Linked DNA regions of Saccharomyces cerevisiae S288C. Changing the gene in region 1 together with any one later gene gives a genetic interaction. Each region holds a gene or a part of one and is shown in the gene's direction. Other genes may lie near its edges.

What was found.
Region 2: mutations in SPF1 (region 1) and SMI1 are lethal when combined (synthetic lethality), as found in Saccharomyces cerevisiae (5 studies listed by BioGRID, with this or other methods).
Region 3: mutations in SPF1 (region 1) and LAS21 together harm fitness more than expected from each alone (negative genetic interaction), as found in Saccharomyces cerevisiae (5 studies listed by BioGRID, with this or other methods).
Region 4: mutations in SPF1 (region 1) and STE24 together harm fitness more than expected from each alone (negative genetic interaction), as found in Saccharomyces cerevisiae (5 studies listed by BioGRID).

Annotation. Positions count from the first base shown.
Region 1 is NC_001137.3:84,991-94,417, forward strand, and holds SPF1 (ion-transporting P-type ATPase SPF1), read left to right. Parts: upstream 1-5,267; coding exon 5,268-8,915; downstream 8,916-9,427. Other genes in the region: UTR5 (Utr5p), read right to left, coding at 55-555; HYP2 (translation elongation factor eIF-5A), read left to right, coding at 686-1,159; MTC7 (Mtc7p), read left to right, coding at 1,189-1,608; MCM DNA helicase complex subunit MCM3, read left to right, coding at 1,947-4,862. UniProt on the Saccharomyces cerevisiae protein: Endoplasmic reticulum translocase required to remove mitochondrial transmembrane proteins mistargeted to the endoplasmic reticulum.
Region 2 is NC_001139.9:947,307-954,819, reverse strand, and holds SMI1 (Smi1p), read left to right. Parts: upstream 1-3,920; coding exon 3,921-5,438; downstream 5,439-7,513. Other genes in the region: PHO81 (Pho81p), read left to right, coding at 1-146; NAS6 (Nas6p), read right to left, coding at 174-860; prohibitin subunit PHB2, read left to right, coding at 1,340-2,272; BNS1 (Bns1p), read right to left, coding at 2,513-2,926; OTO1 (Oto1p), read left to right, coding at 5,595-5,768; DIE2 (dolichyl-P-Glc:Glc(2)Man(9)GlcNAc(2)-PP-dolichol alpha-1,2- glucosyltransferase), read right to left, coding at 5,823-7,400. UniProt on the Saccharomyces cerevisiae protein: Protein involved in the regulation of cell wall assembly and 1,3-beta-glucan synthesis, possibly through the transcriptional regulation of cell wall glucan and chitin synthesis.
Region 3 is NC_001142.9:315,498-323,821, forward strand, and holds LAS21 (mannose-ethanolamine phosphotransferase LAS21), read left to right. Parts: upstream 1-1,786; coding exon 1,787-4,279; downstream 4,280-8,324. Other genes in the region: DLS1 (Dls1p), read right to left, coding at 1-60; mitochondrial 54S ribosomal protein bL17m MRPL8, read right to left, coding at 262-978; COA3 (Coa3p), read left to right, coding at 1,226-1,483; linker nucleoporin NUP82, read left to right, coding at 4,519-6,660; BNA3 (kynurenine--oxoglutarate transaminase), read left to right, coding at 7,889-8,324. UniProt on the Saccharomyces cerevisiae protein: Ethanolamine phosphate transferase involved in glycosylphosphatidylinositol-anchor biosynthesis. Transfers ethanolamine phosphate to the GPI second mannose.
Region 4 is NC_001142.9:640,267-646,818, forward strand, and holds STE24 (zinc metalloprotease), read left to right. Parts: upstream 1-1,740; coding exon 1,741-3,102; downstream 3,103-6,552. Other genes in the region: YJR115W (uncharacterized protein), read left to right, coding at 1-185; TDA4 (Tda4p), read left to right, coding at 559-1,398; ILM1 (Ilm1p), read right to left, coding at 3,224-3,835; JHD2 (histone demethylase), read right to left, coding at 4,038-6,224. UniProt on the Saccharomyces cerevisiae protein: Proteolytically removes the C-terminal three residues of farnesylated A-factor mating pheromone. Also acts to cleave the N-terminal extension of the pheromone. Does not act on Ras.

The DNA of each region.
Region 1 (9,427 bases):
GCAGGCCAAGTTGAACGAGATAGTAGCAATCGTAAAAGGAACTAGCTAACTTCATCATGAAAGTTTACCCTTTCTTGCCGCTACCCTTCTCGTTTGGCTGGTATTAGAGCACAGCGGATATATCCGGCTCAACAGTATAAGTAACGATAAGTCCTGACCATTGGCTTCGTTCTGGTGGCATTTTCTCTGAGGGGTGAGAACAGCAAAACGGGAACGGCGACTTGGAGTAGTATAACGCTGTAGCTGGACGCTGAGGGGCCAAGGCCGGTAAAATTCTGCAACACCCAGACCTTGCTGCAGTGATATCATCCACCCATACCCCTCGATGTATTCCGTAGCGTTATATCGGGTCCGTGTGAGGCGACAAGGGACCTCCCGCACCGCACATACCGCAGGAGCTAAAAGAAACGCCGTCGCCCGAAAAAAAGTTTCGAAGGTGAAGGAACAGTGGTAATAAAAATTTTTTTCGTCGTCGTCGTCGATCGGCTTTTGGCCGCGTTGATCGTCGTGTTCCACGATTATATAATGCACAAGGTTTTTGCCATATCTTGACATTGGAATCCCTCATTTCCTAAATTCCTCTCCTTCTATCAATTGCTTCCTTTCCTTCTTTCTAACGATTCTACTTCTGTAGCCAATTACTCATAGACTCCCAAACACACACAAATACCAACTCATATATACAATGTCTGACGAAGAACATACCTTTGAAACTGCTGACGCTGGTTCCTCCGCCACCTACCCAATGCAATGTTCTGCCTTGAGAAAGAACGGTTTCGTTGTCATCAAGAGTAGACCATGTAAGATTGTCGACATGTCCACTTCTAAGACTGGTAAGCACGGTCACGCTAAAGTCCATTTGGTTGCCATTGATATCTTCACTGGTAAGAAGTTGGAAGATTTGTCTCCATCTACTCACAACATGGAAGTTCCAGTTGTCAAGAGAAACGAATACCAATTGTTGGACATTGATGACGGTTTCTTGTCTTTGATGAACATGGACGGTGACACTAAGGATGATGTCAAGGCTCCAGAAGGTGAATTGGGTGACAGTTTGCAAACTGCTTTTGATGAAGGTAAGGACTTGATGGTTACCATCATCTCCGCTATGGGTGAAGAAGCCGCCATCTCCTTCAAGGAAGCTGCTAGAACCGATTAAACCGGTTAACATCATGGCATGGGATATAAATGAAAAAAGAAAAAAAAACTCCGACGCCCCTTCCATCACATCATGTACTCTTCGCTGAACCGGGTTTTTTTCTTTGCAATTTTTTTTTCGTTCTCCTAAAGCATACACAAATAAATCCTTTTTTTTATTTTCTATTTATTTTGTTATTTATCATCTATATAGCAATAATATACTTTGTTTTTATTCGTATTTCACACTTTTCTTTTTCCTTATGCAGGCAGTGTAATTCATTGGGGAGGATGATTTTCATGTGCGCATATCTACCGGCTGCAAGCAGCCGGTCGGTGGCAAATCCGGCGCTTCCCCCTCAAAAAAAAAAAAAAAAAAAAAAAAAGGGAACTCTCAGAACGGGGGAGGTTGAAGAGCAGGCCAAGGGAAATATTAGTTTTGACCTATGTGGGAAACAGAATTTTCAATGAGTTATGGCAACTTGGCCGAGTGGTTAAGGCGAAAGATTAGAAATCTTTTGGGCTTTGCCCGCGCAGGTTCGAGTCCTGCAGTTGTCGTTATTTTTCTCTTTTTTTTCAATTTCCCTTGTTCGTCAGATCGAGGCGGTAGAAGAAACAATTACTTTTCCTAAATGGGTAAAAACTCGTGTTTTAGGAAAAAAAAGAAAAATTTGGTCAAAACTCGAAAGATAGGTTCTTAATCTTCTTTCAAGTTGAAAAGGCCTACGCTCTTTTCCTTGAAGCATTTTCATCCTACTGCTCGTATTGAACTCCACTATAAGCGCACCAAAAAGATACAAACGTCAATTATGGAAGGCTCAACGGGATTTGATGGAGACGCTACTACTTTTTTCGCTCCAGACGCTGTGTTTGGTGACAGAGTGCGCAGATTTCAAGAGTTTTTAGATACTTTCACCTCATACAGAGACTCTGTAAGGTCCATACAAGTTTACAACAGCAATAACGCGGCCAACTACAACGATGATCAAGATGACGCAGACGAACGAGATTTGCTAGGTGATGACGACGGTGATGATCTTGAAAAGGAAAAGAAAGCAGCATCGTCCACCTCATTGAATATACTCCCTCACAGGATTATCATCTCGCTTGATGACTTGAGAGAATTCGACAGGTCGTTCTGGTCGGGCATTTTAGTCGAACCAGCATACTTCATCCCGCCTGCCGAAAAGGCGCTTACTGACCTAGCAGATTCCATGGACGATGTTCCACATCCCAATGCCTCTGCAGTATCGTCTCGCCATCCTTGGAAGCTTTCGTTCAAAGGCTCATTTGGTGCACACGCATTGTCTCCTCGTACTCTAACGGCACAACATTTAAACAAACTGGTCTCTGTTGAGGGTATCGTAACTAAGACTTCGTTGGTCAGGCCAAAGCTTATCAGATCTGTCCACTACGCGGCAAAGACTGGTAGATTCCATTACAGAGATTATACAGATGCTACTACAACTCTCACCACCCGCATCCCAACGCCTGCCATCTATCCAACGGAGGACACTGAAGGTAACAAACTAACCACCGAATATGGGTATAGTACGTTCATAGACCATCAGCGTATCACTGTGCAAGAAATGCCCGAAATGGCCCCCGCTGGCCAACTTCCCAGGTCCATTGACGTCATTCTCGATGACGACCTTGTGGACAAGACCAAGCCAGGTGACAGAGTTAACGTTGTCGGGGTATTCAAGTCGCTTGGTGCTGGTGGCATGAACCAGTCCAACTCTAATACATTGATCGGGTTCAAAACTCTGATCCTAGGTAATACGGTGTATCCTCTCCACGCCAGATCCACGGGTGTCGCTGCGAGACAAATGTTGACAGATTTCGATATAAGAAATATCAATAAACTATCCAAAAAAAAGGACATTTTCGATATCTTGTCTCAATCTTTAGCGCCTTCTATTTATGGACATGACCATATAAAGAAAGCCATTTTATTGATGCTCATGGGAGGTGTGGAGAAAAATTTAGAAAATGGCTCGCATTTAAGAGGTGACATCAATATCCTAATGGTGGGTGATCCATCCACTGCCAAGTCCCAATTGCTAAGGTTTGTGTTGAATACAGCATCACTGGCAATTGCTACTACTGGTAGAGGTTCTTCCGGTGTCGGTTTGACCGCAGCGGTCACTACTGATAGGGAAACAGGTGAAAGAAGACTAGAGGCTGGTGCCATGGTTCTTGCTGACCGCGGGGTTGTATGTATTGATGAATTTGATAAGATGACAGATGTGGATAGAGTCGCCATTCATGAAGTAATGGAACAACAAACGGTGACGATTGCCAAAGCAGGTATTCACACAACATTAAATGCTCGTTGTAGTGTTATTGCTGCCGCAAATCCCGTTTTTGGGCAGTACGATGTCAATAGAGATCCACACCAAAACATTGCCCTACCGGACTCGCTGTTGTCTCGTTTTGATTTACTATTTGTTGTGACAGACGATATCAATGAAATCAGAGATAGATCCATTAGTGAGCATGTCTTAAGAACACACAGATATTTGCCTCCAGGTTATTTAGAGGGTGAACCTGTGAGAGAGCGTTTGAATTTATCATTAGCCGTTGGGGAGGATGCAGATATAAATCCTGAAGAGCATTCCAACTCCGGGGCTGGTGTAGAAAATGAAGGAGAAGATGATGAAGACCATGTCTTCGAAAAGTTCAACCCCTTATTACAAGCAGGTGCTAAGTTAGCAAAAAACAAAGGTAACTATAACGGTACAGAAATTCCAAAGCTAGTCACCATCCCATTCTTAAGAAAGTACGTTCAATATGCCAAGGAAAGGGTTATTCCACAGTTAACACAAGAAGCCATCAATGTTATTGTGAAAAATTATACTGATTTAAGAAACGATGATAATACCAAAAAATCGCCCATTACTGCAAGAACTTTGGAGACTTTGATCAGATTAGCCACAGCTCACGCCAAAGTCAGGTTATCCAAAACAGTCAACAAGGTGGATGCTAAAGTGGCTGCCAATCTACTAAGGTTTGCACTATTGGGTGAGGATATCGGCAATGATATCGATGAAGAGGAAAGTGAATACGAAGAAGCTTTGTCGAAGAGGTCTCCACAGAAATCACCGAAAAAAAGACAAAGAGTCAGACAACCAGCAAGCAACTCTGGATCCCCAATCAAATCTACTCCAAGAAGGTCAACGGCATCTTCCGTTAATGCCACGCCATCGTCAGCACGCAGAATATTACGTTTTCAAGATGACGAACAGAACGCTGGTGAAGACGATAACGATATAATGTCACCGCTTCCTGCGGATGAGGAAGCTGAATTACAAAGAAGGCTTCAACTGGGGTTGAGAGTGTCTCCAAGACGTAGAGAACATCTTCACGCACCTGAGGAAGGTTCGTCGGGACCTCTTACCGAGGTCGGTACTCCAAGATTACCTAACGTATCTTCTGCAGGTCAGGATGATGAGCAACAACAGTCAGTTATTTCTTTTGACAATGTGGAGCCTGGTACCATTTCTACTGGTAGATTGTCTTTAATCTCAGGTATTATTGCGCGTCTGATGCAAACAGAAATATTTGAAGAAGAATCCTATCCTGTGGCCTCTTTGTTCGAAAGAATCAACGAAGAACTACCGGAGGAGGAAAAATTCTCCGCTCAAGAATATTTAGCAGGTTTGAAGATCATGTCGGACAGAAATAACTTAATGGTTGCTGACGATAAAGTTTGGAGAGTCTGATGTCACAGGAATGTTTACTAAAAGACTTCCATTCTTGGCTTTTTTTCTTTTTGTCATTCATAATTTTCAGTTCATTTCCAGATTATTTAGTTCATTAATTGTTATTCGTGTATTAAAGAATTATGTATTAAAACGCTTATTTCCTTCTTTTGTTTGAATGTGTTGTAAGCAGTTATGGGGCACTATATCTTCTGTTAATGAATATGTGTGATACTTTGGCTTATCTTACTTGCTCATTCGTGGCTTCTTGTCACGCCATACGTTACGCGTTTCTCTTCCTCTTCGCGTGTTCTGAATAAAGCCAAGTGGCAATGTCTCTTCCACCATATAACATGAAGCTTTAGCAAGCTTTTAGCTCTAGACATAGTTGACATATCAGACCTACAGAAACATAGGAATCGGTAAATGACAAAGAAATCATTTGTGAGCAGTCCTATTGTTAGGGACTCGACATTGCTGGTACCAAAGTCATTAATAGCAAAGCCGTACGTATTACCGTTTTTCCCGTTATACGCTACCTTTGCCCAACTATATTTCCAGCAATATGATCGTTACATCAAAGGACCTGAGTGGACTTTTGTCTACTTGGGGACATTGGTATCCTTGAACATCCTAGTCATGTTAATGCCTGCTTGGAATGTCAAGATCAAGGCGAAATTCAACTACAGTACTACTAAAAATGTCAATGAAGCTACTCACATTCTCATCTACACCACTCCAAATAATGGTTCTGATGGTATCGTTGAAATTCAGAGAGTAACTGAAGCGGGCTCTTTGCAGACTTTTTTCCAATTTCAAAAGAAAAGATTCTTGTGGCATGAAAATGAGCAGGTATTTTCTTCACCAAAGTTCCTTGTTGATGAATCCCCAAAGATCGGTGATTTCCAAAAATGTAAGGGCCATTCCGGTGACCTAACTCATTTGAAGAGACTATATGGTGAGAATAGTTTTGATATTCCTATTCCAACATTTATGGAATTATTCAAAGAGCACGCTGTTGCGCCATTGTTTGTTTTCCAAGTTTTCTGTGTTGCCTTATGGCTATTGGATGAGTTCTGGTATTATTCTTTGTTTAACTTATTCATGATTATCTCCATGGAGGCAGCTGCAGTATTTCAAAGATTAACTGCCTTGAAGGAATTTAGAACTATGGGTATCAAACCTTATACCATTAACGTGTTTAGAAACAAAAAATGGGTAGCATTGCAAACCAATGAATTGTTACCTATGGATTTAGTGTCTATAACAAGAACCGCCGAGGAGAGCGCAATTCCTTGCGATTTGATCTTGCTCGATGGCTCCGCTATTGTTAATGAAGCAATGCTTTCAGGTGAATCTACTCCCTTGTTAAAGGAATCCATTAAATTACGTCCTAGTGAAGATAATTTACAACTGGACGGTGTTGACAAGATTGCTGTGTTACATGGTGGTACAAAGGCATTACAAGTAACACCTCCTGAACATAAATCGGATATCCCTCCTCCACCTGATGGAGGTGCCTTAGCCATCGTCACCAAAACTGGCTTTGAAACATCTCAGGGTTCTTTAGTTCGAGTTATGATTTACTCCGCTGAACGTGTTTCCGTCGATAATAAGGAAGCGTTGATGTTCATTCTTTTCTTGTTGATTTTCGCTGTTATTGCATCCTGGTACGTTTGGGTTGAGGGTACAAAAATGGGTAGAATTCAATCCAAATTGATCTTGGACTGTATATTAATTATTACATCTGTTGTTCCTCCTGAGTTACCAATGGAATTGACCATGGCTGTCAACAGTTCTCTGGCCGCCCTTGCCAAGTTCTATGTCTATTGTACTGAACCATTTAGAATTCCATTTGCTGGTAGAATTGATGTTTGTTGTTTCGATAAAACTGGTACTTTGACCGGCGAAGATCTTGTGTTTGAAGGTCTAGCTGGTATCTCTGCGGACTCCGAAAACATTCGTCACTTGTACAGCGCTGCCGAAGCACCAGAAAGTACAATTCTTGTCATTGGTGCTGCTCACGCTTTAGTTAAATTGGAAGATGGTGATATTGTTGGTGACCCAATGGAAAAGGCGACCTTAAAGGCTGTTGGTTGGGCTGTCGAAAGAAAAAACAGTAACTATAGAGAGGGCACCGGAAAATTGGATATTATCCGTAGATTTCAATTTTCTTCTGCTTTAAAAAGGTCTGCTTCTATTGCTTCTCACAACGATGCCTTGTTTGCTGCTGTCAAAGGTGCACCTGAAACGATTCGTGAAAGGCTTTCTGACATTCCCAAGAATTATGACGAAATCTATAAATCCTTTACACGCTCTGGTTCAAGAGTTTTGGCTTTGGCTTCTAAGTCGTTGCCAAAAATGTCTCAGTCTAAAATTGATGATCTAAACCGTGATGATGTTGAATCTGAATTAACCTTTAATGGGTTTTTGATTTTCCATTGTCCTCTGAAGGATGACGCTATTGAAACCATTAAAATGTTAAATGAATCCTCCCATCGTTCTATTATGATTACTGGTGATAATCCATTAACTGCTGTTCATGTGGCTAAAGAAGTTGGCATAGTTTTTGGCGAAACTTTAATCTTAGACAGAGCAGGTAAATCTGACGACAATCAGTTGCTGTTCCGTGATGTTGAAGAGACAGTTTCCATCCCATTTGATCCATCAAAAGACACTTTTGATCATTCTAAATTATTTGATAGATATGATATTGCTGTTACTGGATATGCTTTGAATGCCTTGGAAGGGCATTCTCAATTAAGGGATCTATTACGTCACACCTGGGTTTACGCACGTGTTTCACCATCCCAAAAGGAGTTCTTGCTGAATACACTAAAGGATATGGGATATCAAACTTTAATGTGCGGTGATGGTACTAATGATGTTGGTGCTTTGAAACAAGCTCATGTTGGTATTGCATTGTTGAATGGTACCGAAGAAGGTTTGAAAAAATTGGGTGAACAACGCAGATTGGAAGGTATGAAAATGATGTATATAAAGCAAACTGAATTTATGGCTAGATGGAATCAACCACAGCCACCTGTTCCTGAACCGATTGCACACTTATTCCCACCTGGTCCAAAAAATCCTCATTATCTGAAAGCTTTAGAAAGCAAAGGTACCGTCATTACGCCAGAAATCAGAAAAGCAGTTGAAGAAGCAAATTCCAAACCTGTTGAAGTCATCAAACCAAATGGACTATCGGAAAAAAAACCTGCTGACTTAGCTTCTTTGTTGTTGAACTCTGCTGGTGATGCCCAAGGTGATGAAGCACCAGCTCTAAAGTTAGGAGATGCATCTTGCGCTGCCCCTTTTACCTCGAAACTGGCCAATGTTTCTGCTGTTACTAACATTATACGTCAAGGCCGTTGTGCTTTAGTTAACACAATTCAAATGTACAAAATCTTGGCCTTGAATTGTTTAATCAGTGCCTACTCTTTGTCCATCATTTACATGGCTGGTGTCAAATTTGGTGATGGTCAAGCCACTGTCTCCGGTTTGTTACTATCGGTTTGTTTCTTGAGTATTTCCCGTGGTAAACCTTTAGAAAAACTATCCAAGCAAAGGCCACAGTCCGGAATTTTCAATGTTTACATTATGGGATCTATTTTGTCTCAATTTGCCGTTCATATTGCCACTTTAGTTTACATCACTACAGAGATTTATAAATTGGAACCCAGAGAGCCACAAGTTGATCTTGAAAAGGAATTTGCTCCATCATTATTGAATACGGGTATTTTCATCATTCAGTTGGTACAACAAGTCTCTACATTTGCTGTCAATTATCAAGGTGAGCCATTCAGAGAAAACATTAGGAGTAACAAAGGTATGTATTATGGTTTATTGGGTGTGACAGGTTTGGCACTTGCAAGTGCTACTGAATTTTTACCTGAGCTAAACGAAGCCATGAAGTTTGTGCCAATGACTGATGACTTTAAGATTAAGTTGACCCTAACATTATTGCTCGATTTCTTTGGTAGTTGGGGTGTCGAGCATTTTTTCAAGTTTTTCTTCATGGACGACAAACCATCAGACATTTCTGTGCAACAGGTCAAGATTGCCTCTAAATGATAAATCTTTTATGTAGTACCCCTTTTTGTATTTATATACTTATATTACCCATTCATATAGATCTTTTTTAATGGGTGTATTGTTAAGTTTATGAAAGTGCTGTATTATTTGTAAAACAGCTTCTAAGTATACGAAAATTATAATAGCTTCAAGTTTATATTTTGTTGCTAGCGTTACGGTTATGTTTTTACGATACATATCGCCTAAGCAGGTCTCTGCGCCTAAAAAAAGTAAACATATAAATTGGGAAAGCAATATAATTAAACATACTGCTATAGTAAATTCATTACTAGGCCAATTTAACCGTGCCTTATTATGATATGAAATACCAGTCAACAAGTCCCGCTTAAATGCACTCTAGTAAAGCTACAGGTGGTTAACAAAAATTAAGAAAACAGAACAACCACGAGATTCTTTGAACACGGTCTGTCAAAGATCTTGACTTGGACTAGTTACACAATTTATTTTCCAACTGAGTGGTTTAGCACAGGAATAGTTTAATCGGGTCTTAA
Region 2 (7,513 bases), on another chromosome or scaffold:
GCCCGTCGTTGGCTAGGATCATCAAACAAAACGGACTACTGTTGATTGCATCGGTCGGGGAAAATGACCAAATACCAGCTGATGGAGGTTACAGCGGGATCTACTACGCTTGTGAGTTGCTTTTTGAGAATAATATTGATATGTAAAGTTCTGTAATATGTAGTTTTGAAATCTTATACATTATTTAGGAAAAACTTTTTAACCTGTTCATTAAGGGCAACATCTTCTGCCTTAGCGCCTTTATTATCTACAAGATCATATTCTGCACCATACTTTTCCACCAACAATACAGCTGCGTCACCGTGCCCTTCAGCCAAAGCATGAAATAGTGGGGTCCAACCCTGCTTATCCTGCCAATTTACAGCGCTTTTGCCCAAACCGCATAATAGTTCAATTAATTTCAAAGAACCCACCGACGCAGCTCTATGCAATGGAATTTGATTAAATTTATCTTTAATTCTTACGGACGCACCATTTTCAATTAAAAATTGGGATACTTCAAACCATTTCTTACCAACTGCCAAGTGCAAGCATGTAACTCCTTGATTGGTTATCTTATTTAGATCAGGCTTTAGAGGTCTGTCGTAAAGAGACTTTACCACCTCCAAATTCCCCACTGAACAAGCAATATGGAAAGGTGTCCATCCAGAATCATCTGGATAATCATCTAAGTTAACATTTTCCATTTTAGAAAGCAAAAAACTGGTAATTTCATGTGCTTGGAAAGAAACTGACCAGTGTAAAGGGATTCTGCCATCCTGGTCCTTCTGTAGCAACAAGGAAGGTTTGGAGTGTAGCAGCTCTTGTACCTTGAAAAACTCATTTTCCATGCAGGCTTGATGCAAAGGATAATTAGACATGGTTATACAGTTTTAAGGGCATGCATTTATGTAGCATTTATTATCACAGCTTCAGCTGATCGTTCTTTAAAGAACCCTTTTATGAAGGGCCCTTCGATCATACTTGACAGCCGGGTAAGAGAGATATTCTTTGTATAGAAATGAAATCAGATTACATAAAGCAGTGTGCAATTTGAGTGGCCCCATTTAAATACTTTCTACTTCCTCTATTGCTATGAGTAATACTGCGATGTGGCCGTATCCGTTTAGTCGATATTTTAATAGCTTGCATGTAATTGTGTTGCATAATCACTATCAACGACATAGAGTGGCAAACTTTTCTTGTATCGCTCATTTTGGCATCTAAGGGAAATAATAGCAAAAAAGGGCAATTCATAAACCATAAAGGACATCAGAAGAGTTTTACAGGGGAGGTTGTATTTTAGTAGCTCACGAAATAAAAGCAAGCGGCTGCTAGAAAAGAATATAATTTAGTGCTGATGAATAGATCACCTGGTGAGTTCCAAAGGTACGCAAAGGCGTTCCAAAAACAATTGTCCAAGGTACAGCAAACCGGAGGCAGAGGTCAAGTGCCTTCACCAAGGGGGGCATTTGCAGGCTTGGGAGGTTTGCTTTTACTCGGAGGTGGTGCACTGTTCATTAATAATGCACTGTTCAATGTAGATGGTGGTCATAGAGCCATTGTTTATTCCAGAATACATGGTGTTTCCTCTAGGATATTTAATGAAGGTACTCACTTCATTTTCCCTTGGCTTGACACACCAATTATTTATGATGTGAGAGCAAAACCTCGTAATGTTGCTTCTTTAACAGGTACCAAAGACTTACAAATGGTGAATATCACCTGTAGAGTACTTTCAAGACCGGATGTGGTGCAATTGCCCACCATATACAGAACCTTAGGTCAGGATTACGATGAAAGAGTGTTGCCTTCCATTGTTAATGAAGTTTTAAAGGCTGTAGTGGCCCAATTTAATGCGTCACAATTAATCACTCAAAGAGAAAAAGTTTCCAGGTTGATTCGCGAGAATTTGGTTCGTCGTGCAAGCAAATTCAATATCCTACTGGATGATGTTTCTATTACGTACATGACTTTTTCGCCAGAGTTTACGAACGCTGTAGAAGCAAAGCAAATTGCCCAACAAGATGCTCAAAGGGCTGCATTTGTAGTTGATAAAGCCAGACAAGAAAAACAAGGTATGGTAGTGAGGGCACAAGGTGAAGCCAAATCCGCCGAACTGATTGGTGAAGCCATCAAGAAATCAAGAGACTACGTGGAATTGAAAAGATTAGATACAGCCAGGGACATTGCAAAGATCTTGGCTAGCTCTCCAAATAGAGTCATCTTGGATAATGAAGCATTGTTGCTAAATACCGTAGTGGATGCAAGAATCGATGGAAGGGGCAAATAAATAGCGAAGGCTAGATATTATCTTTAAGAATTGAGTAACAATGTTAAGATGCCATATACTTGTGAATACAAAATAAAGGGAAAGAAAGCGATGCGTAAAACATAAATATTTGTATGTCTTCTAGAATAAGAATAAGGAGTATTACCCCGTATCATCTTGTATTGTTGGAGAACGTATATAGTATAATATGTAACACATACAGCAAAAAAATAGGCCAATTTATGATCATCATCCGTTAAATTAAATGTCTACATTCGGCTTGCGTGGTATATTCTGTTTGCCCCGCACAAACTCCAGTGTTTTGGGTTGCGATTTGGCTGAGAAAAGTTTTGACTTGTGATCATTCAGTTTTCTAGAGCATGGTGAAAGCAAATTGTCTGACGGCGACGCAAATTTTTGCCTAAGTTGCGTGTTCAAGTTTTTCCTTTGATCTTCCACTGCTTTTCTTTTCCGATACGTATTCTTGAATACTTGTCGATGAAGGCAATGCTTTGCAAATGTCTTCGTGTTATGCGCAACTTTAAGACTCATTTTCAAGTGTTGATTAAAAGAATCTAGATTTTCATCCCTCCTGGTGCAAGACACAGACGTATTTTGGATTTTTCTAATCAATTTTGTCACTATATCTTGGGATGCCGATCCGCCGTATGACATCGCAAATCTGTTACTTTTTTTTAGCGCAATGATGTAGTAGCCTCTGATTAACTTTTTTTAAAAAAAAATCACAGATAAGTAGAGGAAGAAGAATTTGCTGCTTATTGGGAACTTTCAATAGAAACCTTTTGTAGAGGATTTCGTTATTTGTTCAAGAGAATAAAAAGGTATACATTTGAAATCCTAGCATTAACTTCAGATACCTTCCACCTTACTAATCGCAGGCCTTTATGACAACGGAGGAGAGTTAGAACGAAGCAGAGAGGCTCCAATCTACATGGGAACATCGCAAAAGATGCGTACTCCGCACTGATCCATTTACCTGCAGGGCTTAACATGCATTGCACCACCGTTTGTACATCATAAGTTAATTACATTCCTTTTTAGGATAGTCTACTATTTATTTTTTCCCGTATCTGGAAAACCCCCTTAGATCCTTGTCACATAATCATAAAAATAAAGGCACCAAGCCCTAAAGCACGTGACATATGTCATTACCCTAGATTACATATAGGGCTTCCAAAGCCCTATTGGAGGTCGAAAAAAAGAAAAAAGAAAATAAAAAAGCGAAAAAAAGAAATGCATAATTCGCAGATTGTTTTTTTTTTCTTTTTCTAATGTCAGTTTTCCTACTTCGAGATCAAAAGAATGTTTTTGCACCGCAACTGAAAAGGTTGTGTTTTCTTTCCAGAGTAAATTACATTTTAATCAATTCTTTGCGCTGCTACGCAATCTTCAAACGCAAGTCCATTCTTAGAAATTTTAGCTTCTCTCAATATTGAAATATTTGCAAATACGCCATTCAAGAATCAAGCCTGTTGAAAATAAAGGTACAAAATTAAATCCGCTAATTATTTTTTTTCGTGTTCGACTAAAGTTATCGAAAAATTGAAAATATACAAGGACTAGCTATACTATCAATACGCAAAGAAAATACAAAATAAACGCACATTCGTTCTATAGGCGACAACTTGGCAGAATTTTTTAGTATAAAATGGATCTATTCAAAAGAAAAGTTAAAGAATGGGTATACTCCCTCAGCACTGACGACCATTATGCAGAGTATAACCCCGATGAAACGCCTACTTTTAACATGGGTAAACGTTTAAACAGCAACAATGGTCAGGTAAATCCCTCTCAAATGCATTTGAATAGTGTAGATGAGGAAATGAGCATGGGATTTCAAAATGGCGTGCCATCTAATGAAGACATAAATATTGATGAATTTACGTCCACGGAGTCAAACGATGGTGTCTCTGAAACCCTCTTAGCTTGGAGACACATCGATTTTTGGACCAGTGAACATAATCCAGATTTAAATGCAACTTTGAGTGATCCTTGCACCCAAAACGATATCACTCACGCAGAGGAAGACTTGGAAGTTAGCTTTCCCAACCCAGTAAAAGCGTCTTTCAAAATTCATGATGGCCAAGAAGATTTAGAATCGATGACCGGTACTTCTGGCTTGTTTTATGGCTTCCAACTAATGACACTAGATCAGGTTGTAGCTATGACTCAGGCCTGGAGAAACGTCGCAAAGAACCTAAACAAAAGATCTCAACAAGGTTTATCCCATGTTACATCTACTGGCTCTTCTTCATCTATGGAAAGACTAAATGGTAACAAGTTCAAACTGCCAAATATCCCAGATCAAAAATCTATTCCTCCAAATGCAGTGCAACCGGTATATGCACATCCTGCTTGGATTCCTTTAATAACGGACAATGCCGGTAACCATATCGGTGTTGACTTGGCGCCTGGTCCAAATGGTAAATATGCTCAAATTATAACATTTGGGAGGGACTTCGATACGAAATTTGTCATTGCTGAAAATTGGGGTGAATTTCTGTTATCGTTTGCCAACGATTTGGAAGCTGGTAATTGGTATTTAGTAGATGACAATGACGACTACTTTAGCGGTGATGGTGAATTGGTCTTCAGGGATAAGAAATCTAATGGTCCTATACAAGATTATTTCGAAGTTTTAAAAAGAAGAACGTGGATCAAGTATCAAGAAAACTTGAGATCACAACAGCAAAAATCTCAACCTGACACATCCTTGCAGGAGCAGAAATACGTGCCTGCCTCGCAAAAGAAAGTGGCAGCTGAACAGCCTTCTACCCTCAACGCAGAATCCATAAAGGGCGAAGATAGTGGTAGTGCAGATGTACAATCTGTTCAAGATCACGAATCTGTCAAAATTGTGAAAACAGAACCTAGCGAAGCGGAGACTACAACTGTAAATACAGAAAGCCTTGGACAAGCAGAGCATGAAATCAAAGCTGATAATGTAGACATTAAACAAGAAAGCGAGAGGAAAGAAGACGAAAAGCAACCAAAGGTTGAAGAAAAAGAACACGTTGAAAACGAACATGTCACAGAATCAGCAAAAAAAGACGATGATGTAAATAAGCAAACAGAAGAAATGAACAAAAAGGAAGAAAATGAAATAAGAAGTGATGATGCTAAAGTGGAAGAAGCGAGAGAAGAATTTGAAAATATAGCTTTATGAAATATCACAATTAACATTCTACAACCAAAAAGAAATTTGGACAATATTTATTTCTATTAAACTGTTCTAGGTAGGTTTCAACCTTAAGAAATTTATACAATATTATCATATATATATATATATATATATAGCACAATTCCCTTACGTTTACCAACCATGAACGTTCGTGGAAATCAATGCATTATGTCTATAAGAGTATTCCTAAAAGCAGGAGAAAGTTCGCTATCATTTGCCATTAAGTGGCTCAAACGGTTTGAGGCCACTACGAAGAAAAATCAATATATACAAAACGGTTGGCCACTAAAAGATGGAAATAAAAAAAGAAAATAAATACTACTAGTAAACATTTATAGAACGTCTTTTTGCAACTATAATCAATTCTGTTCACCATATTATTCTTTGCAAATAGGGCTCAGTGGTCCAAGGAAATGAGACCTTGGAAAAGATAACTAAAGTAACGACATTGAAGAGCATGAACCATAAAAATTCCATGAACAGTCTTTTCGTACTGCTTATGGTAATTGGGTTTTCGCCTTCTTTAGCAGGTTTTAAATCCTTTATCAAAGGTTCGCAGCTGCAGGTAATAAATATTCTCCAAAAGAAATAGGGCAATATATAGTAACGAGGTTCGAATAAGGGTGATGGAACGATAGTTACCATGGTGCACGTTATTAAGGCCGTCCACGATACATGTGTCAGTTGTATGGGTAAATGTACAGGTTCTTTGATGGGGAGTGGAGTGATGGGGTGAAAGGTGAGCTGGTTGGGTCTCATCACTTCAAGGTATGCGAAAGTGGAGAAATGATAGATTGGTGTCATAAAAAAGTACTTGATTAGTCTACTTTTGTTGCCTATCAATCTTCTGAAGAGGTAGAACGTGTAGTGTCTATTATCTGCTAACAAAAATGGGTGAACTTTTGTAAAGTATCTTATGATTAGCATAATACCAATAAATTCAAAAAAAGTTTGTACTGGCTTCCGTTTTATTCTTAATTTGTACAACTTCATAAAATTACGAGATATCCATATAGGTAAACTGAAAACGGTGATGAATGTGAAACAATAGAATATTTGTACTATATGCAGGCCTGCTGAGTGGCTGGACTTATCACCTAGTGTTATGGATCTGTTCCAAATCAGATAAATGAAGAACAAAACAAAATTTATCATATAGGGCAGAACAAGGTTGGAGAAATCGTCAATAGCATGAATGAATAATTTCAAATAGTTATTGAACGTATGCGTGTTGAACTGTTTTTGTAAAATGGCTGGGCGTTCAACAGCAAGAATCATTATAAATCCCGTCCAAATGATATTCGTTTGTCTGAAGAGACAGCTTACACCAGCAAAAAAAGCACTCAACCATATACTCTTCACGGGGCCAAACGGTAATGTTAACACGCAGCTGAGTGATTGCAATATCAGAATTGTAGACCACACATCGGTGTAAAATAAGTAATAATAAGTTGTCATCAATGGGAAGCTCATTAATGAAACGGGCCAAAAACCTAAGGCATTAAAAAGGAATATTGGCCTGAGTACTAAAATGGGGAAAACGATAATCCCTCCAAGTAAATTAACTAATCTTAGTATGGTTAGTGTGCTCCACGACTTGAATATGGGCTTTATACAATAATAATTAATTAAACCCAAAATATAGATTCCAGGGGGGGTTGTTATTTTAGGGTCCCATTGAGTCCATTTACCTTTTAAATAGGTCAAAGTTTGGCCAACGTGAAACTTTTCATCTATAAATTCATAAGGTACAATATTTGTAGTCATGTAACGGAAAGTTAAGACAAAATATATTAGAAGAAGAGGATATATTACTACATTACAGAAGATACCGGTAATGACTTCTTGTGTTAAGTTTCTCGCTATACCTGGTGCAATCAACTGAATCGCTGCTTCCTCTTCCAATACATCATTATTGGCTTCACCAGTATTTTTCTTTGCATCCATTATAAGTTCGATGTGACTGGGCTCGGTGTACCTGGGATATTGACCACTTAAACAGCTCTTTGTATTCTGGTTTTTCTCTGTCTCTATATTTTTTTGAGCATCATCTAACGTTG
Region 3 (8,324 bases), on another chromosome or scaffold:
TAACTTGGGCGAACACAGAGGTGCAGACGCCGTTTCTTTACCACTAGTCTCGTTGTTCATTGTGTTAGCCTGATCACATCGAGCGAGCTATCCTGACGCTATTCTCTCTTGTTTCTTCTGTTTTGTTTCTCTTACATTTTTCATTTTTTTCTCTAGTTGGAAAAAAAAAAAAACACTATATTAGAATACGCACATTGTTAGCGCTGTTCTTTCAATTGTCATCTATATATTTACAAGGGAATACACAAAATCCTGGTTTTTTTAAGGTCTGGGAACCATGACATAGGAGGAGGGTTTCTTCGTCTTCTTTGGCAATGACGAAGAGTAGACCTCCTTCAAAAGTGCCTGCGTCCTTTCGTTTTCGAGTGCCTCATCATAGGGAAGGGACATTTCCTTGAGTAAGACCTGCTTGATGAGCATAATTTCACCATGTAGCTGCGCTTCTGCTTTAAACTTGGCCACTTTGTGAAGATTCTGCAATGTGAGTGGGTTATGAGGTAGCTGGTTGGCGTCATCGTTGATGACTGACTTGACTAACAGCCACATCTTTAAATTGCCCCTGTTCACCGTATGCGATTCGGACATCACGGGAGAGTCGACTAGTTCCAAGACGGATTGCGGCGCTGAGTCGTTAGCCCTAGGCTCTAACCGCAGCACACGCGTGTACCCACCGGGCCTTTCCAAGTACCGCGGTGCGATCTCGCTGAACAACCGCTTCATCAACTTTCTGTTGTCTCCTGCTAAAAACAATTGGCTCTGAATTTGGGACTTTAATTCCGCCTGTGCAACACTATTACTTGTCGTTATTGCCCTCTTTGTCCAGGTAATGATCCGCTCTGCGACCCTGGAAGCCTCTTTACATTTGGCATGCGTTGACACTATAGATTCATGCTGAAACAACTGGCACGCAAGGTTTTTTAGCAGCGCATCCCTATGCGCCTTGTCCCTAGAGAGTTTCCTAGCAATACCCACTGTCATTGTTGCGCTCGACTGTGCTTCTCACCGTTTTTTCTCCTTGGCGTAGCCAAATCTCTTGACCGTTATAAGCTGTTTTAGCTTGTCAAATCCCACTTGTTCTTGTTAACCAACTTTTCCCGCCTCGTACGCGGTGACAGACAAAGCAGTGATTTTTGCTCATTGTATAAAGGGAGTCTTTACTATGGTGGCATAAGCAACAATACTACGTGAGCAGCAACGAAAGCACATATATAGACGACAAAGTAGTATGGTTTTGAATCCGTCCAAGTACCAAGACACCCGCACGTGGAAGATGACGCCTGCCATGATCAGGGCCCGTAAACCCTTTTTCAAAGGCAATATGCTCGGTCTCACGCTGCTGCTGGGTGTCACGGGCTCTGTTTACTACTACACATATCATTTTCTGCACAAGGACAACGACTTTGCAGACGTGCCCATTCCACCCATCGATCCGCAGGAGCTCGAGGCTCTCAAAAAGGAGTACGAAGCCAAGAAGAAGGCATGAAAAGACCGTTAATGTGGAGGTACGCTGTGGTCTTCCATCAATAGGCTTTGCGCTGTTCTTCTCTCCTCTTTTGTAAATAGTTTACCTACTTGCGTATATGTATATATATATATATATAGATATGCTTATACGGATATATACATACATTCTGTTTGTTTATACTCTTTGTCCTACTCTAACAGCCAGCTCTTTAGTTTAAGAATATGATGAAAAACTCAGTTTGGGAAAAAAAAGGAAAATGTTAAAGTATAAACAATATCGAAATAAGTTCATCTACCACGCACACTTCACCAAGTTAGCAAGATGAACTTGAAGCAGTTCACGTGCCTATCATGCGCTCAATTACTCGCTATTCTGCTCTTTATCTTTGCTTTTTTCCCTAGAAAAATCGTGCTGACAGGTATATCAAAGCAAGATCCGGATCAAGACCGTGATCTCCAGCGCGATAGGCCCTTCCAGAAATTGGTGTTTGTGATCATTGATGCTCTCAGATCAGACTTTCTTTTTGATTCGCAGATTTCCCACTTCAACAACGTGCACCAATGGCTCAATACGGGCGAAGCATGGGGTTACACGTCATTTGCTAATCCGCCTACCGTGACGCTGCCTAGACTCAAAAGTATTACTACGGGATCTACACCTAGCTTCATTGACTTGCTGCTGAATGTAGCCCAGGACATAGATTCCAACGATCTTTCGGAGCACGATTCCTGGCTGCAGCAGTTCATCCAACATAATAACACGATTCGTTTCATGGGCGATGACACCTGGCTGAAACTGTTCCCACAGCAATGGTTTGACTTCGCTGACCCGACACACTCGTTCTTTGTCAGTGATTTCACTCAAGTCGATAATAATGTGACGAGGAACTTGCCCGGGAAATTATTTCAGGAATGGGCCCAGTGGGACGTGGCTATCCTGCATTACTTGGGTCTTGACCATATCGGGCATAAAGATGGCCCGCATTCAAAGTTTATGGCTGCTAAACATCAAGAAATGGACAGCATTCTGAAGTCAATATATGATGAAGTGTTGGAACATGAAGATGACGATGATACACTGATTTGTGTTCTTGGCGACCATGGAATGAACGAACTGGGCAACCATGGTGGCTCTTCAGCCGGCGAAACATCAGCAGGATTGTTGTTTTTGTCACCTAAGCTGGCGCAATTTGCTAGGCCAGAATCGCAAGTAAACTACACATTGCCCATCAACGCTAGTCCGGACTGGAATTTCCAGTATTTAGAGACTGTTCAACAAATTGATATCGTCCCCACCATAGCAGCACTGTTTGGTATGCCAATCCCCATGAACAGTGTTGGGATAATAATACCTGACTTTTTACAACTGTTGCCCAATAAGTTGGCAAGTATGAAAGAAAATTTTATGCATTTGTGGAAATTATCAGACCATCACGGCGAGGTTGCTCTTGACGATTTCACTGCCGAAGATATTTATACAAAGATGTACACTATTCAAGAAACGTTAACCAAGTCTGCAACAAATTATAATTATCCTCTTTTGACACTGGCTTTTGTTGGTTTCCTCATAATAACAATCATCGCCATTTATGTATTATTACGTTATTCTGGGCCTGATTTTTGGCAGTTGCGCGTTTCTTCCCTGTCTGTTCTGTTAGTTTCCATTATACTAGGCGTTTCCACATTTGCAAGTAGTTTCATTGAAGAGGAGCACCAACTGTGGTGGTGGATAGTAACTGCATTCTCGGCGGTCCCTCTGTTCGTATACCGATTGAATGTGCTCATAATCGTGCGCTGGTTTATAATGATGGCATGCGTACGCTCAATCAAGTTTTGGAATAACAGTGGCCAGAAATTCATTTATTCTAACGTTATGTCCAATCTACTTAATCAGAATCCTTCCTGGAAGTGGTGCTTAAATATGTTGACATTTCTAGTGCTGATAATGGCATCTGCTGGTTTTCAAGTACTACATTTTATTGTCACTACTATTTTGGTGGGGTTGTGTTTCACGTACAAAATCTCGTGGGAAATCGTCAATGGTAACCAGGCAGAAATACCGCTCTTTATGCATGATTTACTGGCTAAGATAGACTTTGCACCAACTGAAAGTAACTTGATTGTACTTGCGCGCGTTTTCTTCCAAGCTTGGGCTATTGTTGTCATTTCAAGGTTGGTCCTGACGAAATTGAAAGTACTTAACAAGAACTACCTCATTAAAGATATGAAAGTTTATATAACAATTCTTTTGATGTTCCAAACTTCTTCTCAGAACATAGGTCAATTTCTCGTTTTCCAAATATTAGAGTCCCAAATTTTTTACTTTTTCCAAAATATTCCAACCGCCTCATTAACATCAACAAGTAAGATTTATTTTTCGAATTTGGTGTCCTTAATTTTACAAAATTTTACATTTTTCCAATTCGGTGGCACAAATTCCATTTCTACTATAGACCTTGGAAACGCATACCATGGTGTTTCCTCAGACTACAACATCTACGTAGTGGGGATATTAATGTCCGTTGCCAATTTCGCGCCGGCAATATACTGGTCCATGCTACCGTGGTCAATAAACTACGCCTCTATTCCAGCACAAGTTAAGTTGCAAACGTTCATCAGAAGTAAGTTACCTGCCTTCACCTATCATTGTATATTTGGAACTTGTTTGATGACGGCATGCGTCGTTTTGAGATTTCATCTCTTTATTTGGTCCGTTTTCAGTCCAAAATTATGTTATTTTCTTGGGTGGAATTTTGTGATGGGATTGCTGAATGGCTGGTTACCTGAATTGGCCCTCCTTTGCGCTCTTGATTAACATAGAATTGTTCACGTGGTCTAAATATGTATACATATATGATAGTTTATAGATTCATACTGAGACAAGTGAAAAAAAAAAAATCTACTATCGACCTTCTCTCTTTTCGCGGCAGCAAAAATGAAAAATTAACTTCAATAAAAAAGTTGAATACTTTCAAATATTCTAATTGCATTTAATATTTAAGCAACAAAAGGACAGCGATAATTGAGTGGTGGCTTAATTCTATACTCCAAAGTATGTCCCAATCTAGTAGGTTAAGTGCACTTCCTATTTTCCAAGCATCGCTTTCGGCAAGCCAATCTCCACGTTACATTTTTAGTTCTCAGAATGGCACAAGGATTGTTTTCATTCAAGATAACATAATAAGGTGGTACAATGTACTCACTGATTCACTTTACCACAGTTTGAACTTTAGTCGTCATCTCGTCTTGGATGATACCTTCCATGTAATATCTAGTACGTCTGGTGACCTACTCTGTCTTTTCAATGACAACGAGATTTTTGTAATGGAAGTTCCTTGGGGCTATTCCAACGTTGAAGACGTTTCCATTCAAGATGCATTCCAAATTTTCCACTATTCAATTGATGAAGAAGAAGTTGGTCCGAAATCGTCCATTAAGAAAGTTTTGTTTCATCCAAAGAGTTATCGTGATTCTTGTATAGTGGTTTTGAAAGAGGATGACACTATCACGATGTTTGACATCCTTAATTCGCAAGAAAAGCCTATCGTTTTGAACAAACCGAACAACTCCTTTGGTTTAGATGCACGTGTTAACGACATCACAGATTTAGAATTCAGTAAGGACGGATTGACGTTATATTGTCTAAACACCACAGAAGGCGGTGATATCTTTGCATTTTATCCATTTTTACCGTCAGTATTACTGTTAAATGAGAAAGATCTCAACTTGATCCTAAACAAATCTTTAGTAATGTACGAGTCCCTGGATTCTACAACAGATGTTATAGTTAAAAGGAATGTTATTAAGCAGTTACAGTTTGTGTCAAAACTGCATGAAAATTGGAATTCAAGATTTGGCAAAGTCGACATACAAAAGGAATATCGTTTAGCCAAGGTTCAAGGACCATTCACGATAAACCCCTTTCCCGGCGAGCTGTATGACTATACTGCTACAAATATTGCAACCATACTAATTGATAATGGGCAAAATGAAATTGTTTGTGTCAGTTTTGATGATGGGTCTTTAATCTTACTCTTCAAAGATTTGGAAATGTCAATGTCGTGGGATGTTGACAATTACGTGTATAATAATTCTTTGGTTCTAATTGAACGAGTCAAACTACAAAGAGAAATTAAGTCTCTAATAACGTTACCTGAACAGTTGGGAAAACTTTATGTCATTTCCGATAATATTATACAACAAGTAAATTTTATGAGCTGGGCTTCTACATTGAGTAAATGTATCAACGAATCGGATTTGAATCCACTTGCAGGATTGAAATTTGAAAGTAAACTTGAGGATATTGCCACCATAGAAAGAATTCCAAACCTAGCGTATATCAACTGGAATGACCAATCTAATTTAGCCTTGATGTCGAATAAAACATTGACTTTTCAAAATATTTCAAGCGATATGAAACCGCAAAGCACCGCAGCTGAAACAAGTATCAGTACAGAAAAAAGTGACACGGTAGGAGATGGTTTTAAAATGAGTTTCACACAGCCCATAAATGAGATTCTTATTTTGAACGATAATTTTCAAAAAGCCTGTATTAGTCCATGTGAACGAATTATCCCATCAGCAGACCGCCAGATACCTTTAAAAAACGAAGCTAGTGAAAATCAGTTGGAAATTTTCACGGATATTTCCAAAGAATTTTTGCAAAGAATTGTTAAAGCTCAAACTTTGGGTGTTTCTATCCACAATAGAATTCATGAGCAACAGTTCGAATTGACGCGCCAACTACAATCGACATGCAAAATAATTTCAAAGGATGATGATTTAAGGAGAAAATTCGAAGCACAAAATAAGAAATGGGATGCACAACTAAGCAGACAGTCAGAATTAATGGAGAGATTTAGTAAATTGAGCAAGAAGCTATCTCAAATCGCCGAATCCAATAAATTTAAAGAAAAGAAAATAAGCCATGGTGAGATGAAATGGTTCAAAGAGATACGAAACCAAATATTGCAATTCAACAGCTTTGTTCACTCTCAAAAATCCCTTCAACAAGATTTATCGTACTTGAAGAGTGAACTAACTCGTATCGAGGCAGAAACTATCAAAGTCGATAAAAAGAGCCAAAACGAATGGGATGAGCTACGCAAAATGCTTGAAATAGATTCAAAGATAATTAAAGAATGCAATGAAGAATTGTTACAAGTTTCTCAGGAATTTACTACTAAAACTCAATGAGTAAGCGACTTGCATAGTCTGCTATCATATATGTACGCTAAGAAACAACTGGGCAATGGTATAATATCATGTAGCAAGAGGACATTATATATGAATTGGTCAATATATAAAGCCTTCTGTGCACCAAATCGTTAGGATGATTTTTCAGTATGCTGTATCATTGTATCGTATATTCATTCGTATCTCTTTTACCTCACTAACCGCTGCCAAAATTTACATGTATACAAAATAAAAGTCTTTTTTATGACCTTATTTGGTGAGTAATGCTACTTTTGTAAAGAGTGATGGAAACTATTATTCCAAAGGGTTAGAAGAAGGTGAGGAATACGTTCATATCACCGCTACAGATCGTGTCTCTCGGTTATGAGTAATCAAACCCTCTGCAAGCAACACAGTTACTTTTTTTCGGTTTTTTCTTTTCGTGTGAATTTTTATCCAGTGAGTTTCCTTGTTCACTTTCGAGAATGGAAGGCTGATTTCGAATTTTTATATTCAACAACTGTATTTGTATTAGGCTTTGCAATAGTAGATGAAAAGTGCAGAAGACGAATCTGCTACCCTCACAATACAAAGAAAAACAAAATCGTCATTTTAATATAGGAAGACACCGCTCAGGTAATTCAATATTGAATCTGGTTGCACTTTTCTTACGATGTAAATACCCACAAACTTCTTGTACGGTGAGCGTCTGACAACGAAATCAATTTACGGAGCAAGGATTTTGACAGTAGAGCAGATTGTTTTGAGTAGGATTTAGGAATCAAGACCTCCATCTTTGTCGCATTATTCCTAAATGTAACGTAACTCGTTTGATAAGAGAATGTCTAATCGAAGAGAGTTAATAACTTAATAAGCTCTTTAAAAGAACGATGGCATTTATCGTCTCCTATGCCAAGATAATTACTGGCTCAAAATTGTTCAGCGTTCATAAAACTTTGATATCACTTTCTGGCGCACAAGCTAACCTTTATGTAGTTCTTACGTAGATTCTTTTTAGCAAGTGCCTGGTAGTGGTTATTACATAAATGTATCTTTTCATTTGATAACAATTTCTTCAGTAGCATGTCGTGTCTAGCACGTGACGTAGAACTGTGGCTTTTTTGTTGTCATTATGACAATCAAGATACCAAAATTCAGTCATGTTTAAAAGGGGAAGGTACGATAGAGATATATATAAAGTGTTCAATTTACTATAATTGCGTATAGAATCCATTGTTACTTGCTCTCAATGAAACAACGATTCATTCGTCAATTTACGAACCTAATGTCTACTTCGAGACCGAAAGTTGTTGCCAACAAATATTTCACTTCTAACACTGCCAAAGATGTTTGGTCGCTAACCAATGAAGCCGCTGCAAAAGCTGCCAATAACTCCAAAAACCAAGGCCGTGAACTTATTAATTTAGGCCAAGGCTTTTTTTCATATTCCCCTCCTCAATTCGCCATTAAGGAGGCTCAGAAAGCCCTAGACATTCCAATGGTCAATCAATATTCTCCAACTAGAGGTCGACCTTCATTAATTAATTCCTTGATTAAGTTGTATTCTCCTATTTATAACACAGAATTGAAAGCGGAAAATGTTACCGTAACAACAGGTGCCAATGAAGGTATACTTTCTTGCTTGATGGGGCTTTTGAACGCTGGCGACGAGGTTATTGTTTTTG
Region 4 (6,552 bases), on another chromosome or scaffold:
GAAAAATGGTGGGCCACGCCAATATGCTGGACAGGATCCTCGACGAAATAGACGAAATCGACAGCGAGGTAGTACTGTGTGACGCTGCCGATGGTTCTTCTACTGCAGAAGCTCATTCCGCTTCCCCAGCATCCAGCGACTCTTCTCCTCTCACTAATAACATCCGGCCCATTAGCATTATGTGATTAGCATGCATTTTCCCCTTTTCCTTTCTTAAGAACATTTTTACGACGCGGATCTGCCCGTCATCGCATACGAATGTTGAATCACGCCAGAATCACCAAAGAAAAAAACTCGTTCAGTTCCTAGGTTTTATGAGCCAGGAACAATAGACTTTTATCGCATATTATTTCTATACGTGCACTTATATATGCACACATATGTTTATATACATATACATACATACGTGTTTCTTTTCAGCCTGTGTTTTTGTCGGGTCCAAAAACATACAAGGCAACATAATATTTTGACATAACTCAACGCAACATAACAGTATAAAACATAGTTTAATAAAAGAGAAAAAAAAAACAATATTTTTAAGCTATCGCTCTTGCCGCAATGAACGCCAACTCTACCACGACAGCAATCGGCCTCACCAGCCCCTTCGAAAAGCTGTCCTTCTTCCCTCATTCGTCTAATTTAATACTGGCTCATTTGCATGAGATCATCTTCAGCTTCGTCTTCTACCAGCTCGCATTCTCCGTTGTCGCACCGTTCTTGAATAAAGTGGTCTTTCGCAAGCACTACACCACGATCCGTGACCCACTGCTGAAAATTGATTTCAATGTCCACACCGTCTCGATGATCCAGGCTGTCGTCTCGAACACCGTCCTGTTGCCCACCCTCACGACGCCAATGCATTATAATGTTGTCACCTACACAGATTCGTACAGTTCAATGGTATCTTCCCTCAGCGCAGGGTACTTTATCTGGGACTTGACTATGTGCGTGCGTTACTTCAAGCTTTATGGTCTCGAGTTCACGGGCCACGCCATTGGCTCCGTATATGTGATGCTGTTGTCCTTAAGACCGTTCTGCCAACCCTGGATCGGCAGGTTCCTTATCTACGAGGCCTCCACTCCCTTTGTGAACATCAATTGGTTCATCATGCAATGTAACGCCAAGAGCAAGAACTCTATCCCTCTGTGGTTTAATGTCGTCAATGGCCTTTTGCTCATGACTGTGTTTTTCGTCGTCAGGATTTGCTGGGGCTCCATCGCATCCGCTCTCTTATTCAGGCAGATGTGGAAGGTAAGAGACGAGTTACCCAAGTTTTCTGCTGTCACGATGATGTCGCTGAACATTTTCATGAACCTTTTGAACGTGCTTTGGTTCAAGAAGATGATTAGAATCGCCAAGAAACTTGCAAAACCAGCCCCAACGTCGAAGCTAGACTAAACCTACCTTTTTTTCTATCTTCAACAACGAAACGCCTTACACACACACACACATACATCTACATACATACATACAAATATACATATATGTAAACTTGTATATTCATTCCTATTAACCAAAAAGAGGCAATTAAACTTTTCCCTCTTTTTCTACGTCATTTACTCAAAAACTCTAATTCCTTCGTCTCTGTTCTGCCATTTTCTCCAGAAAAAAATCGACGGGAAATAAAAAAAAAAAGACAACGAACAAGAGAAAAAGTTCGCGAATTATAAACCACTTCTATAATTAACAGGAAAAGGAAGGAAAAAAAAGGAGGAAATAGAAAACTGCAGGCCTTTATTCATGTTTGATCTTAAGACGATTCTCGACCATCCTAATATCCCGTGGAAATTAATCATTTCTGGGTTCTCGATTGCCCAATTTTCTTTCGAATCTTACTTGACGTACAGACAGTACCAGAAGCTATCTGAAACAAAGTTGCCACCTGTGCTGGAAGACGAAATTGATGATGAAACTTTTCATAAATCAAGGAACTACTCCCGGGCCAAGGCCAAGTTCTCCATTTTCGGTGACGTCTATAACCTAGCCCAAAAGCTAGTTTTCATCAAATACGACCTCTTCCCTAAAATCTGGCACATGGCCGTTTCTTTATTGAATGCAGTCCTGCCAGTCAGATTTCATATGGTCTCCACTGTCGCACAGAGTTTATGCTTCTTGGGTCTCTTATCCAGTTTGTCTACCTTGGTTGATTTGCCACTCTCTTACTATAGCCATTTTGTCCTGGAAGAAAAATTTGGTTTCAATAAATTGACCGTCCAACTATGGATCACCGATATGATCAAGAGTCTGACTTTGGCGTATGCTATTGGTGGCCCAATCCTTTACCTGTTCCTTAAGATCTTTGATAAATTCCCTACTGATTTCCTTTGGTACATTATGGTCTTCTTGTTCGTTGTCCAAATCTTAGCCATGACAATCATTCCAGTCTTCATCATGCCCATGTTTAATAAGTTCACTCCATTGGAGGACGGTGAACTGAAAAAATCTATTGAAAGTTTGGCCGATAGAGTTGGGTTCCCTCTAGATAAGATTTTTGTCATTGACGGCTCAAAAAGATCTTCTCATTCAAACGCATATTTCACAGGTTTGCCATTCACCTCCAAGAGAATTGTTTTGTTCGACACTTTAGTGAACAGTAATTCTACTGATGAAATTACGGCTGTTTTGGCCCATGAAATCGGTCACTGGCAAAAAAACCACATCGTTAATATGGTCATCTTTAGTCAATTGCACACCTTCCTCATTTTCTCCCTTTTCACCAGCATCTACAGAAATACATCATTTTACAACACCTTCGGCTTTTTCTTAGAGAAGTCCACTGGCAGTTTTGTTGATCCCGTTATCACTAAGGAATTCCCCATTATCATTGGATTTATGTTATTTAACGACTTATTAACTCCACTCGAATGTGCCATGCAATTCGTGATGAGTTTAATTTCCAGAACTCATGAATATCAAGCTGATGCTTATGCTAAAAAATTGGGCTACAAGCAAAATCTATGTAGGGCTCTAATTGATCTACAAATCAAAAACCTTTCCACCATGAATGTAGATCCTCTGTATTCTAGCTATCATTATTCCCATCCAACTCTAGCTGAAAGATTGACCGCTCTAGACTATGTTAGTGAAAAGAAGAAAAACTAATCTATAGAGTACACATATTAGCATGTACCGTTAAATTCAGCTTCGTTATGTCTATATCTACATACATACACAGGTATCTACTATAAGAATAAAGGAAAGAAAAAATAAACGATTAAACATTTTATTTTTTTGCATCGCTATCATCATTACCTTTCTCATTGTTATCATCATTATCTTTCCCATCTTCATCGTCATTTTCTTCATCATTGATTATTTCAATGATTTCTGTGGTTTCAGTCTTCACGGTAAATGGTTGGGGTTCTTCAATATCCTCATCATTAACCATGAATTGGTTCAATCTTTTGAACTCTTCATTTTTCTCCTCCCTAATGGCATTATACAAAAGAAAATTTATCCAAACTTCTGCAAAACAGTAAATAAAAACAGAGTTATTGTGAACGTAAAAGTTTGACTCCCAAAGGTACGAGATACTTGTCAAAATAAAAAAAATTAGTAATCTAACTGGCACAACAGATTGGAAGTATTTAACATTGTTTTCTAACAGGGGAATTAGATCATGAACACCGTTAAGAGTAAACAGAAGAGCGAAAAGACCCAATTGACCACTATAACGTGACAGTGTTAACTGCGGTAAATTCATCGCTTGCGTTAAGACTATGAAATATGTATTTTGCAAAATAGAATTAACGTTCTTTAAACAAAAGAAGGCGATCGTGAATAAAAATGCTACTCTGAAAAAAGCAATATTGGTGGAGTTCAAGGCTTGAGCCATTTTCTTAGAATTTATTCTTTACTTTTGCTGAATGCGATACTCTATTATGTTGTAAATTGTTACACTACCATTCAATTGTCTCTCTTTAAAGATTGATCGACATTATTTTCTTTACTTTTTTGGTGTTTTCGCGCTAAAAGTGGCGTGCTAAATGCCAAGTATTATTCTAAAAAATCATTACGCCATACACAAATATTGAAGACTATCTATCTAACTTAACACCAACTTGCTTTATTAAAGAGTCAATATCCTTCAAAGACTTAGTGAAATACAATTCATCGTCAATATAAGGTTCTTCACCGTCGCTATTGTTCAAGTTTTGTATTGATTTTAAGTAATCCTGCGTACACAGGATACTCACTTTACTGTCCGTCGTGGATAGTTCATTCCACTGCCTAATACTTAAATGGTTTTTCTTGTGTCTTTTATACGTTCTAATTGAATCATAGTTATTCTTTCGCAATACAAAGGCTATTGAACATATAGTCTTACATTGGGAACAAAATATATCGTATTCCTCATCTTCATCGTTTGGATCAGTATGCACCTCCAAAAGAGTTGTCCGTGGTACAATGGCCTGAATTTTCCGTATGCGTTTTAATTCAGTATTATAAAAGACGATCAATGAAGAGTAACATTGCCTAACAAAAGCATCATTGAACAATAGAGTATCTTTATTGTACTTGTCCAAAACATTGATCATTAAATCAAACATATCAAAAACACATGCTTTCTGAGTTAATTTATAATCCGTAATCGCACCAAATCCATATGGTAGCCAGAAATCTATAGTAAAATTGACAGCTTCATTAAAATTATAACCTGTATTAAAACCAGCATGGTAACATTTAGGAAACGTGATAATATATTCGTTGGGCTTTTGCACAGCTTTGTACACAGGAATACCTGATTTCTTGAAATTTGGATCGTACGGAGATATTAAAGTCACTAGCTGATGCAGTAGGTCTGGTTGTTTGATAAATAAGTCTGGTGACATATCATTTAATAGATCGTTGAATTTCGTACATCCCGATTCGGGAATGCTGTACCAGACCTTAGGGTCACCTTCATGTTGATAGTTAGCACTTAGGGTATACTGATCTTCCATATGCCAACAAAATGTGGAAAATAAGGAGCCTATGTAAATCCAAGGAATAGTCATGCCAGAAATATTTCTTTTAAATAACGGTAATAGCGAATTATGAGCCATAGGCAAGTTAGTTAAATTCATAGGATGATCGCAATATTTGAGGTAGTCTATCAATTCGTCCCCATTTATATTTTTGGGTATAAATTCTCTCGTCGGAAAGCCGGTAATTTGACCTGGCAATTCGTTATGTATGTCAGCACCGTATTTAACTGTCGTTAATGAACTGCGACGATTCTTGGTCACTAAGCTCCAAAACATCTCTTCCAACTCATCTATAGACAGTTTTCGTGCTGGTAATAACCTTGAATTTTGACGTTTACAATATTCTTGAAACTCTGGTAGAGAATAGTCATGCGTGTCCTGAGTGAATCCGTAATATCCGTTTCCGACGATACAAGTGTTACAAATCCAATCGCCAGAGGGAACACGTTCCAAAGGTGGTGATAAACAATATATATGGAATGGTTTGTCACATGAATCACATAAAATTGTTCTTTTTGGATCATTTGTCTTGCGACAAACAATACAAGCATCATCATCGTCCTCCTCAAAATCCGACCCAGAATTCGAATCTGGCCCAAGATCGAAATCGTCCTCGTCATCACTTAATAAGGATTTTGGATACTGGTCAGCATGCAGCGCCGTGTGCACGTTCTCGTTCAGTGAATGAAGAAATATGTAGTATGAGGCAATATATTTCTCAAAAATTTCCTTTAACAAGCCGATTGGTACGTTGAATTTTTTAGAAATGGTCCTCCATAGACTGATGTCGCCTCTTAATTGGGAAATATCTCTAAATTTCAATTTTCGCCTGAATGACTGTGTAGTGTCAGTAAGTGTCCGATTGTCTTTTATTAGTTCAGAGAAAACGTCATAAAAGTACACTTTTTTTTTTAGTATTTCCGATGCATGAGTAGAATCTGAATATTCTACAATCGTATAAGGTTCCCTAAGTATAAGTTTCGATGGATCCTTAACGGATCTTTTAAAATTATTTAACTGTTTCATAAAAAATAGCCTACACCTATTTTTCAGGTCTAGGTTCTCCAGATTTTGAATTCTTGGTTGAAAAGTAAAATTTTCCATATCAATAGAAAGTGGCGGGCAGAACCCGTTTGGTGGTACGACCTTGACCATACCATATCGTACACCAAGCCTTTTAATGTGGGGGTTAGAGAGATAATCGATCGGATTTTTGAATTCTTGTTCCGTTGGATACAGGGCAGGAATTTCCTCCATGATAGTGATACGTTTTTTGTGCAAGATGAGATTAGTTAATATGATCTAGAGGTAAAATTGACTAAGTAGTCAGATCTTATTCTACATTGAGCCTGCGTTGTCAACATGCACATCTCTGTCTCTTGGGATGATAATTTTTCAATGATGATTCCAGGGTTACTTTAACGTTACACAAAAGAAATTAATTAGTGCGGCTGTTTCTGTGAGCGGGGCAGTAAGTCCGAAGCCCTTGATATTAGCCCATACCCTACACATTTTACTCGTTTGCCCTACATCAGATAAAATACTGGCCCTAAGCCCTCCTAATCTCTTCTGGTTACACCTAGGG